2 linked regions of the Neodiprion lecontei genome follow. The protein of the gene in region 1 purifies or fractionates together with the protein of each later gene. This does not show direct contact. Links are inferred from orthologs where the notes say so. Each region holds a gene or a part of one and is shown in the gene's direction. Other genes may lie near its edges.

Region 1 (5,466 bases):
TTGGAATGATTATAAGATTTTACTTTTGGGTCAATAGAATTTTGTCCAAGGAAATTAAGAGTATCAAGAATGCGATCCACTTACGTTTTTTACGAAGTAAGAATTCCTGTGTTTCTCGCTCTTCTTCAGCAGCACGAATTCGCTGTCTCAAATCGTTTCTTTCCGCTCTTATCTTAGAGGTTTTTTTAATTATTTCAATCACACTATCTTCTGCATTTTCTCTCAGTTTATGCAGTAAGATATTTTTCCTTGCTTCCAAGACTTCCGATGTGGGATGTAGATTGTCGGCGATGTGATCCCATAGCAAGCCGACGATTCCCTTTGATAATCTAATTGAATTAATACGAACAGGTAAATGAGTTTAACCATTGTACTGCAAATCAGAAATCGGTATTGATCCAAACTCACGTTTGTTTTGTAGATTCGTTGCAAATCGACGGTGGACATCCCAATCGGTGTGTCCATGTAAAACTGTCCTCGAGTTTACTCATTTTTATCGATGGATTTAGATTGATGAAGATTTATTCGCGAAAGACAGCACTACTCTTTCGCATCTACGACACATCATCGAAATTCTTTATACTTTACGTCGCGTTTTGTCATTTTCATGACACGTCCAGTATTCAGTAACGAACGAATTCGAAATAATTGTTGAGCAAATGTTGGGCGATGCTAACTCTATCTCTATTTTGCTCCGCGAAGTAACGAGAACCGAACGGCTGATTCCAAAGCGTCCCTGTTTTTAGGTTAGAACATTATGTTAGGTTAGGCAAGGGTAGCGTACCGTCACGATTGAAACGTCAAAGTGGTGAAAGCTGAGTATTTTGTCGTCTTAATTTCTTATTGAAAATGTCTAAAATAACTGGATACGACACGCACGACGATGGCCCAGGTTTTGTGGGCATTAGATTTTGCCAAGAATGTAATAACATGTTGTATCCTAAGGAGGACAAAGAGAACAAAGTGTTGATGTACGCGGTAAGTAGAATTTATTCGTCGTTGCTTGTCAAGTTGGGTTGTTTCGACCGAGAAATTTAAGTAAGAATTCGTAAATAATATCCGTGATTGATTTACTAAACAAAATAATTTAATATTTACTGACTTAACGTGTTGTTTTCCAATTACAGTGCAGAAATTGCGACTTCAAGCAGCTAGCCGACAGCAACTGCATTTACGTGAATAAAATTATGCACGAAATTGAGTAAGAATTATTTTGCTTGATTTTTAACAATCATAACATAACGTGTAACTAATGGACATGTTTATCTACTCTGTACAGCGAACTGACCCACATCGTCGCCGACGTTATATCAGATCCGACACTGCCAAGAACTGAGGAGCACCCCTGTCCAAAATGCAATCACCGAGAATCTGTATTCTTCCAAGCACAAACCAGACGAGCTGAGGAGGAAATGAGACTTTATTACGTCTGTACAAATCAGCACTGTTCACACAGATGGACAGAATAAATTTTAACACATTCTGTATGCAAACAAAATTTAGATTTTAATGTACATATACTTCTGGTCCTGTTATAGTTCTCTAGATGACATCTCATTTCAATTAGTCTTAACTTAAGGTGAGATAATTAAGGTATATAAGTAAGTTAATGAGAAAAGCTTCACCTTTTATTGCAAGACATTGAATAAACTATATTTGCAATAAATTTTTTTTAAAAGAAAATAATTTATTTCATCATTTAAACATAATATTTACAGTAATCTACTGCGATTTAATTTTTTTTTGGAATTTGAAAGTCCCAACCTTGCACTGCTGAAAGATCCACGATATTTTCAATCAGAAAAAAACTGATCGTTAACTTCTTTTTTTTGTCCTACGCCAACGCGCGGCCTCGAGGGGACGGCGAGTGAGAATGTACTACACAAATGCACTGCATACATTCACGCTGTCATACACGAATGTACATACGTCGTAAGCTCAACTCTTGCTAGAAACGTCTCCTTTTCTAGAGCTCAATCTCGAAGCAAATACACGAGGGATACACAAAAAAAATTAATCGTGAGGTGCTTGTTTAGTCGTATCTCTACACTTGGATCGCGAAGGTATGAGTCACTGTGATTATCTACAAGCTGATGCTGTCTTCATATTCGTTCAAATCAATTAATGGGTTCATCGTTTACAAAGAATACGAATAAAAACATGAACAGGTATGTATATGCATAGACAAATTGACATCGGATACGTTATTCGGAGATTCTTGTACAGAAAATCTGTCTGTAATCCTTCAAGTCCTGTGTTGCGTTGAAAGTGACAGACTTTCATTTATAACCTATAAATAGAAGGAAAATTCGATGTAGAAATCTACGCTATGTAAGACATAAATTTGACACGGGCTGGAAATTTTGATTCGATTCACCACATCAGTGAAACCGCCTATTAGACTTTGATATAATGAAACAAATGACAATAAATACCGCGCCAGGTACAATATCAGTTAATAAATCAATATCCTTGTATTCAGCAATAATACGTCAAGGTCAAACAGCAGCATGGGAAGTGAAAATAACGCAAGCAACTCCAGGCCATTGAGCATCCAAACAGTCAGGGCTCAGAATGATTCGCGACAATCGCATCCGCAATCGATGCCAACTCAACCAAGGCAGCCATCCAATCTACAAGGGCTGCTTCGATTTGCCATGGAAGCTAGGCAAGAGGAGAATGCTTCACAGTCTTCGCAGTTCCAACCGCTGGATCAGGAGGTATGGAAAAAACTATTCAGTGGCAAATGAAGTCCGGCTTGTTTTGAAATTAATTCTATTTTTTCATCAATTAAGGAAAATAAGCTTATATTTTCTTTTCTCTGTATAGCGACAAGCGTTCTTGAATCAAGCGTTGTCTTCTATGACTGTAAATGTGATAGAGGAACTTCAAAAGTCGATAAAAGTGTTGTCCAGTGCAAGCGAACTCCAGCTTGAGAATGAACCTTCCCAATACGATAATGCACTGGATGTGATCGCAAATTATGTCGACAACATGGACACTGCAAATGACTTTTACAAAATTGGAGGCTTCGCGATATTCGAACCCTGCCTTAATTCTAAGTACAGCAGTCACAGATGGAGGGCAGCTGACATTATCGCTGAGTTGACGCAAAATAATCCATACTGTCAAGAAAAGGTCTTGGAGTTTGGTTTGATGCCGACATTACTGCATATGGTAGACACAGACCCCTCAGAACAGACCAGAATTAAGGCCTTATATGCAGTTTCTTGTAAGTCCACATTTTTACATAATATGTCATCATTCTGTATTCATAAACTAATCAGAAACGATTCGAGAGAATTTATATCTACCATGATCACCGATACAGACAGATTTACTAATATTTGATTTTAAAAGTTGCCCTGCCTCATTCTTGCTGAAGAATAAATTGGAAGAATAAGTTCAGAGTATGTAATCAATTAACTGAGTTTATGTTGCTATCACGATGTTTCATCATTTAGGTCTGGTGAGGGAGAACCCAGTATCATTGACTCACCTGAATGTCAATGATGGCTATTCAGTTCTGCTAAGGGCATTGCAAAGTCCAATAGAAAAACTGCAGATAAAATCTGCCTTCCTGTTATCATCTTTATGTAGCAAAGATGGCAATCCCCATAATTTAAAGACAACTCTTGTTAATATGGGTTTGATCGAACAAGCGGCTGGTTTGCTGGCAATGCAAGGTCTTCATCCAGATACAAGGTACTAAATTCCGTTACTTCACTTACAAAATATTTCTGTCCGAACTGCTAACGGAATTAATATATATGGATTCTTCTTTTTGTAAATAACTCAAGGGACCAGCTATTGAGGGTACTAGCTGGATTGGCCAAAAATAACTACTTGCCAGCATTGAAGGAATGCAGAAGGCCGCAACTTTGCCTGAGGCAGACTCTAGAACGTCATCAACGTGAACTAAGGGCAGAAGAAAGTTTCGACGAAGCTGACATGTGTGCTCAGCTTTTAGATCAAATATTTTCAGATCATGAGACAAATCAGGAGAGATAGCCGATCTCTTGCGTGCAGCCAGATCGATGATCTGCCTAACAGAGTTGTAATTCTTGTTCAATTGTAACACAAAATATGTACAATAAACATAAATATTTATTTTTTTCCCTTATTCGAGTAACTTGACGTTTATAACTGTACGCTAATACAGATTACCACTATGTATATGAACAAATAATTTGTTGAATATGTGCAAGTACTTTATACAGATAAAATCCTGATATTGCCAACAGAGCGTTGTTGCAATCAATCATTCAATCGATAAGTCCGTCTGCCCTTAATACACCGTTGCACGTGCACATTCGCGTCTGGAGGCAATTAGTGACTAATGAATGTATCCGTTATGCGATAGGTTGATAATTTTTTGTGAACGACGATACCTATCGAATATTCCGTTATTCGTGATCCGAATAATGCAATTCAAGTAAAACTACGTAGGTATACGTGACCAAAGCGATCATTAAAAGTTTCATTAAATCTTACTCGAATCTGTATAAAAAATAAGGAAGGCAAGGAAAATAAGTTAATTAAGTTGCGAAAAAATTTTTCATCTGGTTATATGGGTTGAACTTTGTGCTGATACGCGGCATTGGTACGCCACGCGTCGCAAAGAAAGTTGTGATTCGGCCGCTGGAATTTAATTTTTGTAATACACTAAGCAGAAGCGCGCGAGGTCTTTAGGCTTGGGATTTATTTAATTGTTCGCGCGTGACGTAGCGGGAAGCAACTCGACAATGTCTGAGGATAAGAAAAAATCTGGAGAACCTGCAGATGCGGAATTAAACGACTTATTGGATAGTGAGTACTGACGCAAATTACATTTTCATTTACGGCGTAATCTCCGTTTGCAAAAATCAGCAACGACTTGGTGATGAAAAATTATTATGCACAAACATAACCTATAACCACTGAAACGAACAGCGTCTATAGCTGTTATTTTCATTATTTAGCGATAATTATGAAGTCAAGATTATTTATAACCTTCCAATGAAATTTCTGGCCACCAGATAATAGATCAAAATTTTATTTTATACAGTCTTCCTTTTTCAATAATTTTACTGTTATGTAATGTTAGAAATTGACCTAGAATTTTTGTCAATTGTTCCATAACACCTGCTTAGTCAATTGTTGTCTTGGTACAAAAAATAAAATGCATGCTTTATCCGTTTATTATTAGGAATTCGATATATGTAGGTCATCTTATCAATTTAATTCGGTTTAACCTTAGTTTTTGCAATTTTAGTACGCAGGTTTCATCAGATGTGAATTTTGAATTTGAAATCAATGTAATAGCAAACTTTTAAATTTTTCCAGGCGCTCTCGAGGATTTCAATCAGGTTCAAAGCGAAAAACCAAAAACCGATGCAACGGCAGTTGCATCGTCGGCACAATTGGAGCAGCCGGATGCCGCAGCTGGCGCTGAAGATCAGTGGACGCAAGATTTTATCAAACAAG
Region 2 (8,933 bases), on another chromosome or scaffold:
TTTTGTTTCTTCTTGAACAAGATATGCGAACTAGAAATCTGAAAAGTGAATGAGAGGAAGATGACGATTATTACAGTTTGATCAGAGAATAACTGGAGGTACGGTGTTGGTGAAAATATATGTATATGTACATAAAAGCGTATATTGAAATAAGACTTGAAATTACAGGAATAACCAGCTTGAAACCTCTTGTGATAAAAAATAGATTTTCATCTGAGTAACAAATTGACAATGATTAATATACGTACACACAAAACGTCGTCATAAATAAAATAACTTACAATTTTACAACAACGCTACTTACATGACACATCAACTTACTCGCCCCCGGAAGGTACGGGGGACTTAATAGACGGTGAGTATTTTGTTGGGGGCGGCGGAAGGTCTAGAACAAAAAACCGGTGAGTGGGGATAGAAGAAAAACAAATCATAATTCAGAGGGCTTGTGTAAATGGCAAATTGCATTTAAAAATATTACCTTCCAGACGCAGGGATGAGAATTCTTTATCAATGTTTGGCTGTTTCTTATCACCGTTCACATTGGAGTTACTTTGTGATTTACCAGAATTATTTTCAGGATTGTTGATTGAGTCATCATGTTCTGATTCCGCGAGCAGCTCGGTTAACTCGTCTTCAAGATCGGAATCGTAGTAGTCGACTGGTTTAGTTAGAACTGATTGCATCTCGCTAAATTCTTCCAGTACCTAAGATTTAATCCGTACAAAGACTTGGATTAGGATGAATGCAGAAATGTTCTGTTGATTTTGAAGAGCTTCGTATTATTTTTCCATAAATATAATTGCAGAAGTTGGGACTAAAGATAGAAAAAAATACAGTGCAGCTCACCTCTGAAAGATCGTTCATGGTATCGGCAACATTGTCTTCGTTAAGGCCATCTTCTGCCAATTTTTGCTTCAAGGCGGCAGCTCCTGCTTTGTAGGAATTAAGTACCTGTAAAACAACGATAATTTTATTGACCCATATTACATTTTACAGAAGTTCTGTTATATTTGGTTGCATTCCTGTCGCATTGTCATTGATGAAAAAATCAATATCTGTTCACCTCAGAGTCAGAACGCATGTCGCGAACCCTAGTGATGATAATTTGTATGTTTTGAATTGCAGCTGCGCGTTTTTCGATGCTTTTCTCAAGCTCTTTTTTTTTTCTTAGACAACTTTTGGCAACTTGTCGCATTCCATTGGCCAAATATGCTTTTGCATTCTTGATAACGGTTTCCTTTTCCATTTCCAATAACTCCAAGTTTTTGATCAAGGTTTCTTCTTGCTTTTCCAATTGGTATAAACCTTCCTCAGCCTCTGTTACTTCTTTAACATGGGTGTTTGACAACTTGACTAGCGTATCGTTACTGTCTCGTTCAGGACTAAGATGAAATGCAGCTTTCTTGTTGAGACGCAACCATATCATAGCAAGTTTCACATCATCATCAGACAAACTACCTTTCTTTATATCCACCTTCTCTATGCAATTTTTCGTTATGTCCGACATAGAAAAAAGAGTATTCTCTTCATTTTTCTTAATTGTCGAGAGAATCAGCTCTCCTAATTCCTTGACTGTCTCTAAATGGACATATCTGGTCTCTGGATCTACCGATGTCTCTACTATGCTGTTTTTTAGCACAGAAAATGACCAGAACAACGGTCGTTTTACAAGAGTATCAACCGCCCACCCTCCCCAAGAATTGGGGGATTCGCGAATGAAATTCAACATTGGAACAATCTCACCATTTCTGAAAGAATTAGGAAAAGTAGAGTAACGATTCGGACGAGTTTTTGTAATCATGATTAAATTCTTATGCACATCCTAGTGTGTCTTTCACCTGTGCAATTCCTGAAGGACAATCGACAAGCAGGCGGGGGATCTACCGTTACGCTTGAAGGCCTTGTTCAGATCGGATAGAGAGAAACTGCAACGCTTCCTGTATTTTGACCAATCTGCTATCAAACCACGCCAAAATCTATACTTCGAGTCCCAGTCCTGTGGATTAGCAGAGCGGTTTCGAAACTGTGCAAACAGGGAGTTCATACGATCATCCCTCTCCCAGCATTCAGGCATTTCCTCAGCCGGCAAGGGTAGACTCTCATTGAGATCCTGTTGCGCCTGCATTTTATTTCACCTTGTAAAAACAGGCTTTCAAAATATTTGACAGAGTCTCTTGTTTATGTGAGGTTGGTTTTTAAAACATGATTTGACAGTTAAATTGCAACTTCGAAATTAGCCAAGCAGGAGTCGAGTATAGAATTGAGTAACTTTGCGCAAGTGTGATGTGCTTAACAACGTTGTCTGTTTAAACATTAGAACTGAATAGACTGAAGCGCAATTTTTCCACAACACGTTCGAACGCTTATACAGACAATGAGGTGAAAAAATTAGCCAGAATCACGTCGGTTGGTCCAGAGAAGTCACGTGTGCTCGGATTGTGCTCGACGGATGGATAAGCGATTTTCATACAAGCTTGCGCATTCAGTCAGTGACGTTACGCTCAAGCCACCCATCATCATCTGTGTCAAGTCAGTTAGTCTACAGCGCATGCGCAAGTACGCATCTACACAGGGGTGCGTACCACTGAAATGTAGTTCTATACATACATTTCAGTGGTGCGTGTAACATAACCTCAATTTTGCTAGTAGTTTCCAGAACCCCCTAACAGTAACCGTTAATCCGACATTCGGTAACATTCGGCAATCGGCGACGAAACATTGTGCGTGATGGTTGTGTCGTGATGTTTATGTTCGTTAAAAGTTATGTTTGGAAGATACAGTCGTGACCGGTGACGGTATTCCACGGTATAAAAACGATTAGAATGTCTAGTAAAGAGAACACCGTCCTCGAAGAGGTGAGAACAAGTTGCTTTGCTACAAAACAATAGGTTAGATCAATATGAAAACAATACTCTATCTAGTACGTACGAATGTCCAATGTTATCAACAGAAGTAACGGAAAAACATTCGATTATGTCTTCGAGCCAATGGAATTTGTTGAAAAACCGGTGGAGAGAATTGAATAAAATTTAAACCCAGACATCCTTTTCGCCAAAGACGGCCGATTTTGTTTTGTTCAAAGCTTAAGAATAATCTGTTTCGTTGTTTGTAGTATAAGTGATACTCCTTTTTCAGGAAGAGACAGGTGACAGAATGTCTCCAGACTCGCCCAAGAAGCCAGTCAAGTCAACGGCTGTTGTCAAGTATTCTGCGGTAGCAGCGCCAGCCTCTTATGCTACACTGCAATGTAACACAGATTTGAATCTACCACCGAGTAACTGGCTCAGTACTTCGGCGCAAAGTTATGGTCTTCAAAGCGTTTGGTCTCACAATACGGGATTTTCTAGCTTTCGAATGGCTCACATGTTTCCTGATTGCGTTGGGGAAGTGGATGTTGTTTCAGATGCAGAGAATATTAAGAAACTCCTTAAATTACCTTACAGTCAGGCATTAGTTTCCATGATGGTGCATAGAGTTGAAAATACTCTACTGATTGATGACTTTGACATTCATAAGTATCTGCTTCGCCAGGCTGAGAGTGATTGGGAATGGCTTAAGAAATTTATCTACGGACATGTGTATAATAGCGTCGGGGGTAAAGAAAAGAGACTGTTTCATAAAACGAACAGCAGGAATACGTTGCAGCAAAAAAATCTTGTCTCCAAGTTTCTTTATCATTCTCTGGTTGTTGCCGACAATACGAAGCAAAGCGAGAAACCGAAGCTGCCCGTTGAGCCTCTAGAACCACAGCTACCTGAGCCGACACGAGAAGAGAAATTACCCGATCCAAATCACAGTCATAATTTTGCTAGAAATGTTGTTTGGACTTTTGAAAATATCCAAATGCTGATTGGGACAGACATGCCGATATTCGGTGGACAGACTCATCCCTGCATCAGCTTGAGACTGAGGGATATGGCCAAGCCGATTAATGTTTTAACTGGAATCGATTATTGGTTGGACAACCTTATGTGTAACGTACCAGAAGTTGTTATGTGCTACCATCTCGACGGAATCGTCCAGAAGTATGAGCTGATCAAAACGGAGGATCTACCCAATTTAGACAATTCCAAATTCAGCCCTAAAGTCATTAGAGATGTAGCCCAAAATATACTAAGCTTTCTAAAAAGTAATGCAACAAAAGCTGGGCACACTTATTGGCTGTTCAAAGGTAAAGCATTCTTATAATCTTTTATGTTATTATGATCATTATGATAGTTTTGTACATTATTGAAAATAGGAATCATAATGAATATTTTTTCCATTCAAGGCAAGGATGATGATGTTGTCAAATTATATGACTTAACTTCGCTCTGTACCGATTTCTCCGATGAAAAAGGACAAAATCCATTCACTGTACCAGTAGCTATGTTACTCTACCGTGTCGCTAGGAATATGAAATATTCGTCTGACTATCGCAGGCAGCAGGGAACCATTAGAATGCTGTTGAAAAACTGTGTGGAGCTGCTGTCAAAGAAAAAATATCCCCAAATTGTTACTTCGGCACACTACATGCTTTCGGATCTATATATTCCGGCTGATACAGATCCTGCCAGCCCTGGCTTAATGGATCAAAGTGACGAAGAAGATGCTCAAAGCGATTACAGTGCTAATCAAGAGGCAGAAAGTAATATAGACAACTTTGATGAGGAAGTTAGCGTGGCCATCAAATCGTTGAGCCTAGCTCCCAGTAAGCATTATTTATTTGATTGAAAAAGTTCTAAATTATTGGCAGAATTTTTTTCTATGCATTTAGTTTTCACGCACTTCTGACTGTTTTTCAACTTGATTTCAGTGAAAGGATATCGAGAGAATGAGGAGCTGAAGTATAAACCGCCACCATTATGTGGCACGGTTGAAGAGAGGTGTAAAGCTGCGTTGGAGCACGTTAAAAATGGACTTGAATGCTTGGAGTATTTTCCAACTGAACATTCCTCTGACGACGAGCAAAGAAAAGACGAAGAAGCATGTGGACAAAACGGGCAAGAATTAGAGGAAGAGCATCCAAGAATGGCGAAACCTTTCCAGGCTATTCCTATGCCATATGTGCCTTTGAAGCAGACCTCGGATGACACATCGTCGAATGTAGAAATGAGTCCAAAGAACAAAGGAAAATCAAAGAAAAACAAGAAGGGAGACAGAACCGTGTCAAAACCAACAGTTCAGGACGCCACACCGAAGGCTTTGCTGTGTAAATCTACAGTGGAAACATTGCCAACTTGGCAGGCCCCAAAAGCGAGCGACAATCTTAACTGGAATGCACATCTTAAGACCCTGTTATATGAGAAAACGTCTTTAATCTTTACTGTACTGGCAGAAAACGAATATTCTAGAAACAATTACGGAGCGTCGTTGAGATACATATTAGCAGTTCTGGGGTGCCAGGAAATCATGGAAACGTTCTGTCACATTAAGAACGATAAACTGATCAGCTACCTACTGGGAAGAGCTGGCGACAGCTGTTTTATGATTGTTCAAGACTGGAATAACATTGATAAGCACAGAAACGAGTATGAGCTAAAGAACATTGACCCAAAAATTCTCGATGAAATATACCATGTCAAAAATATAAAATCAGGTGAGTTATAAGCAAGTATAGAGATGAAGTATATTAAGTAGTTTTATTCCCCCATGAACGCTCGCTTCCTTGACTTTGTACTCATTGAAAACTAATATCCATGTAAATGATTATTTGCAGACGGTGTCGAGCTGTTGCCTCAAACCTTGGACAGTCTCGAGGTAATGTTAGAGGCTTCTTACAAATGCTATGAAAAAGCACTTTCACTGGCGCCTCTGGAAAATGATAAAAATAATTTGTTAAGACGTTTGGGAAACATCCACAATGAGTTGGGTGTTCTGTACATGAATCAAGCTGGTATGCGATATTTCAGATTTACCGTCTATGATAAGGTGTATTTTTAGTCATCTGTTTTAATGTACACTTGTTTTAGCTTGCCATCAGCAAGAAGAAAGTACAGATGATACAACCACGGATGTTGCAACGCTGCTTAATCAATCTTTGACACACTTGGAGGCTGGTGTAAAGACATTTGAAGCAGTGCACGATGAAGCAAATCTAGCTCTATTACATTCGAATTCAGGGCGACTCATGCGTCTTTGCGCTCACATTCACATGAAACAACAAACGCAAGAGAGGTATTTTTACAACAAAGCACTTATCAGCTATCAAAAAGCGTTGCAAGTTTTGGGAACTCGCAAATCTAACACCGTTATCTGGGACACAGTCACCTGGGAATTATCAACAACGTTATACACAATGGCTTCGTTGTTACAGGACTATCCAACTTCTGAAAATAAGGTTGGTATGTGAAAGTTCAAAAAATTTCCTAATAAAAAAAGTTTTTTGCAATCATACACGGAATTTGCTGTTTTATTCTGTCACAGTTAATTGTGATTCTTTAAATTTGTATTCATTCGAATATTCCAGAGCAAAGAAGAACTCGAAAGAGAGGTAGTTGAGGTTCTTCAAAAAGCTTTGAAACATTGTGACACAGAGACACCGGGTCCAAGGCAACCTGTCTATCAATTCAGAGCTGCGAATATTCAGCATCGACTCGCTTCCTTTTACCATCGTGTGTACAGAGAAATGGATGCAGACGTCGATGCGAACAAGAGAAAAACAACTTTACAACTTTGCAAGCTGTACTATGAAAAAGCAGCAAAGTTGTTACTGTCTTTGGAACAAACTACGGAGTTTCTTACTGTACAGATGGAGCGCGTTGCTTTGGTGGAATTTCAGGCACAATGTGCGTAAGCAAGTCTAAGATGAAATAACGCACCATCAGCTACAATAGATTCTAAGCAGTTTGAATATAAACCTGTTGCTTCATATTTCAGGCTCAACAACGTTTAACAGTAAATTGAAATTCTATCAGAGTGGGGTGGATTTAATACTGCAATGTAGACCCATCCTTGAAATTTTACACGAGAGAAACAAGGGCGTTAAATTTCAACCAGACATGTCTGAAGTCTGTGATGATAAAAATGAAAAAAAATCTGTAGTCACAGAGAAAACTGACGACGAAAAACTGACGGAAGAAGATGAAAAGCTTGTTGTTCTTCTAGAACAGAGGTTGCAATTTTTGCTTCGGTCTCTCGCCAAGCTTTGCATTGCCAAAAATCCCGGTGGGAAAAAAAAAGAGTAAGCAGAGCGAGATTTTCTTGCGTATAATGACTGTATAAACACAATTGACATAAGTAAGTCATTGTGAAACTATGTTAACATGCGGTATCGAATTTCCATCTTATTACAGATGCGAAGACCTTGCTGCTCTGTATAAAAGCTGCTACAGTAAAACGTTGAGACCAAGAAGTTTGTCTAATTACGCCCTCGTCGAGCATATGAAAGATCTTCTGAAAACCCTACAAGAGTGCAGTAGCGGATCTGAAGTACAACACAGCGGCTCAAATTCTAGACTATAATCCGAGGTATGTCCATAGTTGAAATGGGATATCTAGTTTCTTCTTTACTGAAAAATGGTTGCACTTGAAGGTAATTTTAGAAAATTCGGTGAAATCGTTGTGTTTAAATGACTGAGATAATTCAAGAACTCGGTCAAGTTTTGTCAAATCGTCTCGTATATTGACCGTTCAATAATACATGTCGAAATGGTTCTTTCATCAACACTTTGTGTCTATAAAGTTAGCGATTGCTTTCAGAGAGAAAGTCGTCTTGTACTTGAGAAAAGATTCGATAACTTGTGATAGTAATGGACGTTGAGAAATGCATGAGGACCAGTGTATATTTATGGTATATCGTTATTGAACTGCTTTTTTGTTTTATTGTTATTATTGTTTTTCTGAGGTTGTTTGCGTCTAGTGTTGAAATTTTCAAAAAAAGTATTTTCATCAGACATTCATTATTAGCCGTCCGTGAACTGCCCGGTGAAGAGTAACCACTGAGCGCTTGTTGTGCGATGTTGTATCTGATTATTCCTAATCCGTGAGCTGAGTCATTTGTTTCGCTTTCGCAACGTGATATGATCGTAGATGTTAAGCAGAATAATACCGAAGGGTTGTCCGCTGGTGACCGGATTTATCCTCACTACGTCTCTTGGGTATTGCTATAATTAGGCTCGACGTTAAGGAAATCTTACTCGATATTCGCCGGAGTAAAAGTCGATATTTACTTTTTTAACGTGTACATAATAAACGTATTATATAAATGTTTTAACGAGTAAAGTTTATTTATATAATAAAAAAGAGAAGTAACGAAAAAAAAAAAAAAAATGATAACCAATCAAATCCTAAATCCTTTTATTGTAATCACCTCTACGGTGATAATCAAATTACAATAATCTTTATACGTTACGAATGATCTTTAACGATAATTTTTGTAATATGAGCGAGTAATTCAGTGCTATGAACAGTGAACCGGATCACAGTTTCAAGTTTAGATTAGATGAACATCAAGGCGTGAAAAATTTCGTACAAATTGTTCAGTCTTCATTTTGACGCATTGTTTGAATATGAAGTAAAAACCTCGACGACAAACGAGTTTTGCAATTAAATTCGACTTTATTTGAATAACGTATTTTATACTGGAATATGGCAGTATCAGACATTCGAAAATTTCCATTCCATCACGACGTGAAACTTTCGTTGGGTAAAAAGGCGCCCGGAAGGGTGAGAAATTTTGCTAATCTTTCCGAATGCCAATCGTCACTTCGAATATCATTAACCCTAATTAAATTTACGCAGATGTTTGGACTTTGAACTTTGGAGAAATCTTCCGGGCCAAATTCAAAGACTGCGGCTAATCTCTAAAAGCATCCCAAAAATTTGAAAGCGGTTGTTTTTCGTTGCCTCGAAAACTGACGCGAGTGTTTTTAAATTTTGTGCCTTGTAGCGAAAGGGTATTCGAAAGTAAAAATTCGTAAAAAAGCTCCGTTCCGTTTCTCATTTTGTCGATT

What was found.
Region 2: the proteins of hsp70-binding protein 1 (region 1) and erythroid differentiation-related factor 1 purify together in Homo sapiens (affinity purification with mass spectrometry; 3 studies listed by BioGRID and IntAct, counting the BioPlex papers as one, with this or other methods). This does not show direct contact. The link is inferred for Neodiprion lecontei from reciprocal best matches to the Homo sapiens genes HSPBP1 and EDRF1.

The regions. Positions count from the first base shown.
Region 1 is NC_060263.1:34,405,762-34,411,227, forward strand, and holds hsp70-binding protein 1, read left to right. Parts: upstream 1-1,919; 5' UTR 1,920-2,124; coding exon 2,125-2,168; intron 2,169-2,482; coding exon 2,483-2,720; intron 2,721-2,829; coding exon 2,830-3,232; intron 3,233-3,464; coding exon 3,465-3,705; intron 3,706-3,800; coding exon 3,801-4,011; 3' UTR 4,012-4,123; downstream 4,124-5,466. Other genes in the region: uncharacterized protein LOC107222673, read right to left, coding at 85-329, 409-491; DNA-directed RNA polymerase II subunit RPB9, read left to right, coding at 850-978, 1,128-1,201, 1,280-1,469; peroxisomal biogenesis factor 19, read left to right, coding at 4,746-4,809, 5,326-5,466. UniProt on the Homo sapiens protein: Inhibits HSPA1A chaperone activity by changing the conformation of the ATP-binding domain of HSPA1A and interfering with ATP binding. Interferes with ubiquitination mediated by STUB1 and inhibits chaperone-assisted degradation of immature CFTR.
Region 2 is NC_060265.1:27,243,864-27,252,796, forward strand, and holds erythroid differentiation-related factor 1, read left to right. Parts: upstream 1-2,504; 5' UTR 2,505-2,822; coding exon 2,823-2,855; exon of another isoform or gene 2,856-2,888; intron 2,889-3,135; coding exon 3,136-4,171; intron 4,172-4,270; coding exon 4,271-4,690; intron 4,691-4,795; coding exon 4,796-5,578; intron 5,579-5,698; coding exon 5,699-5,875; intron 5,876-5,951; coding exon 5,952-6,319; intron 6,320-6,448; coding exon 6,449-6,767; intron 6,768-6,858; coding exon 6,859-7,162; intron 7,163-7,274; coding exon 7,275-7,443; 3' UTR 7,444-8,189; downstream 8,190-8,933. Other genes in the region: charged multivesicular body protein 7, read right to left, coding at 318-385, 479-704, 847-951, 1,064-1,748, 1,839-2,125. UniProt on the Homo sapiens protein: Transcription factor involved in erythroid differentiation. Involved in transcriptional activation of the globin gene.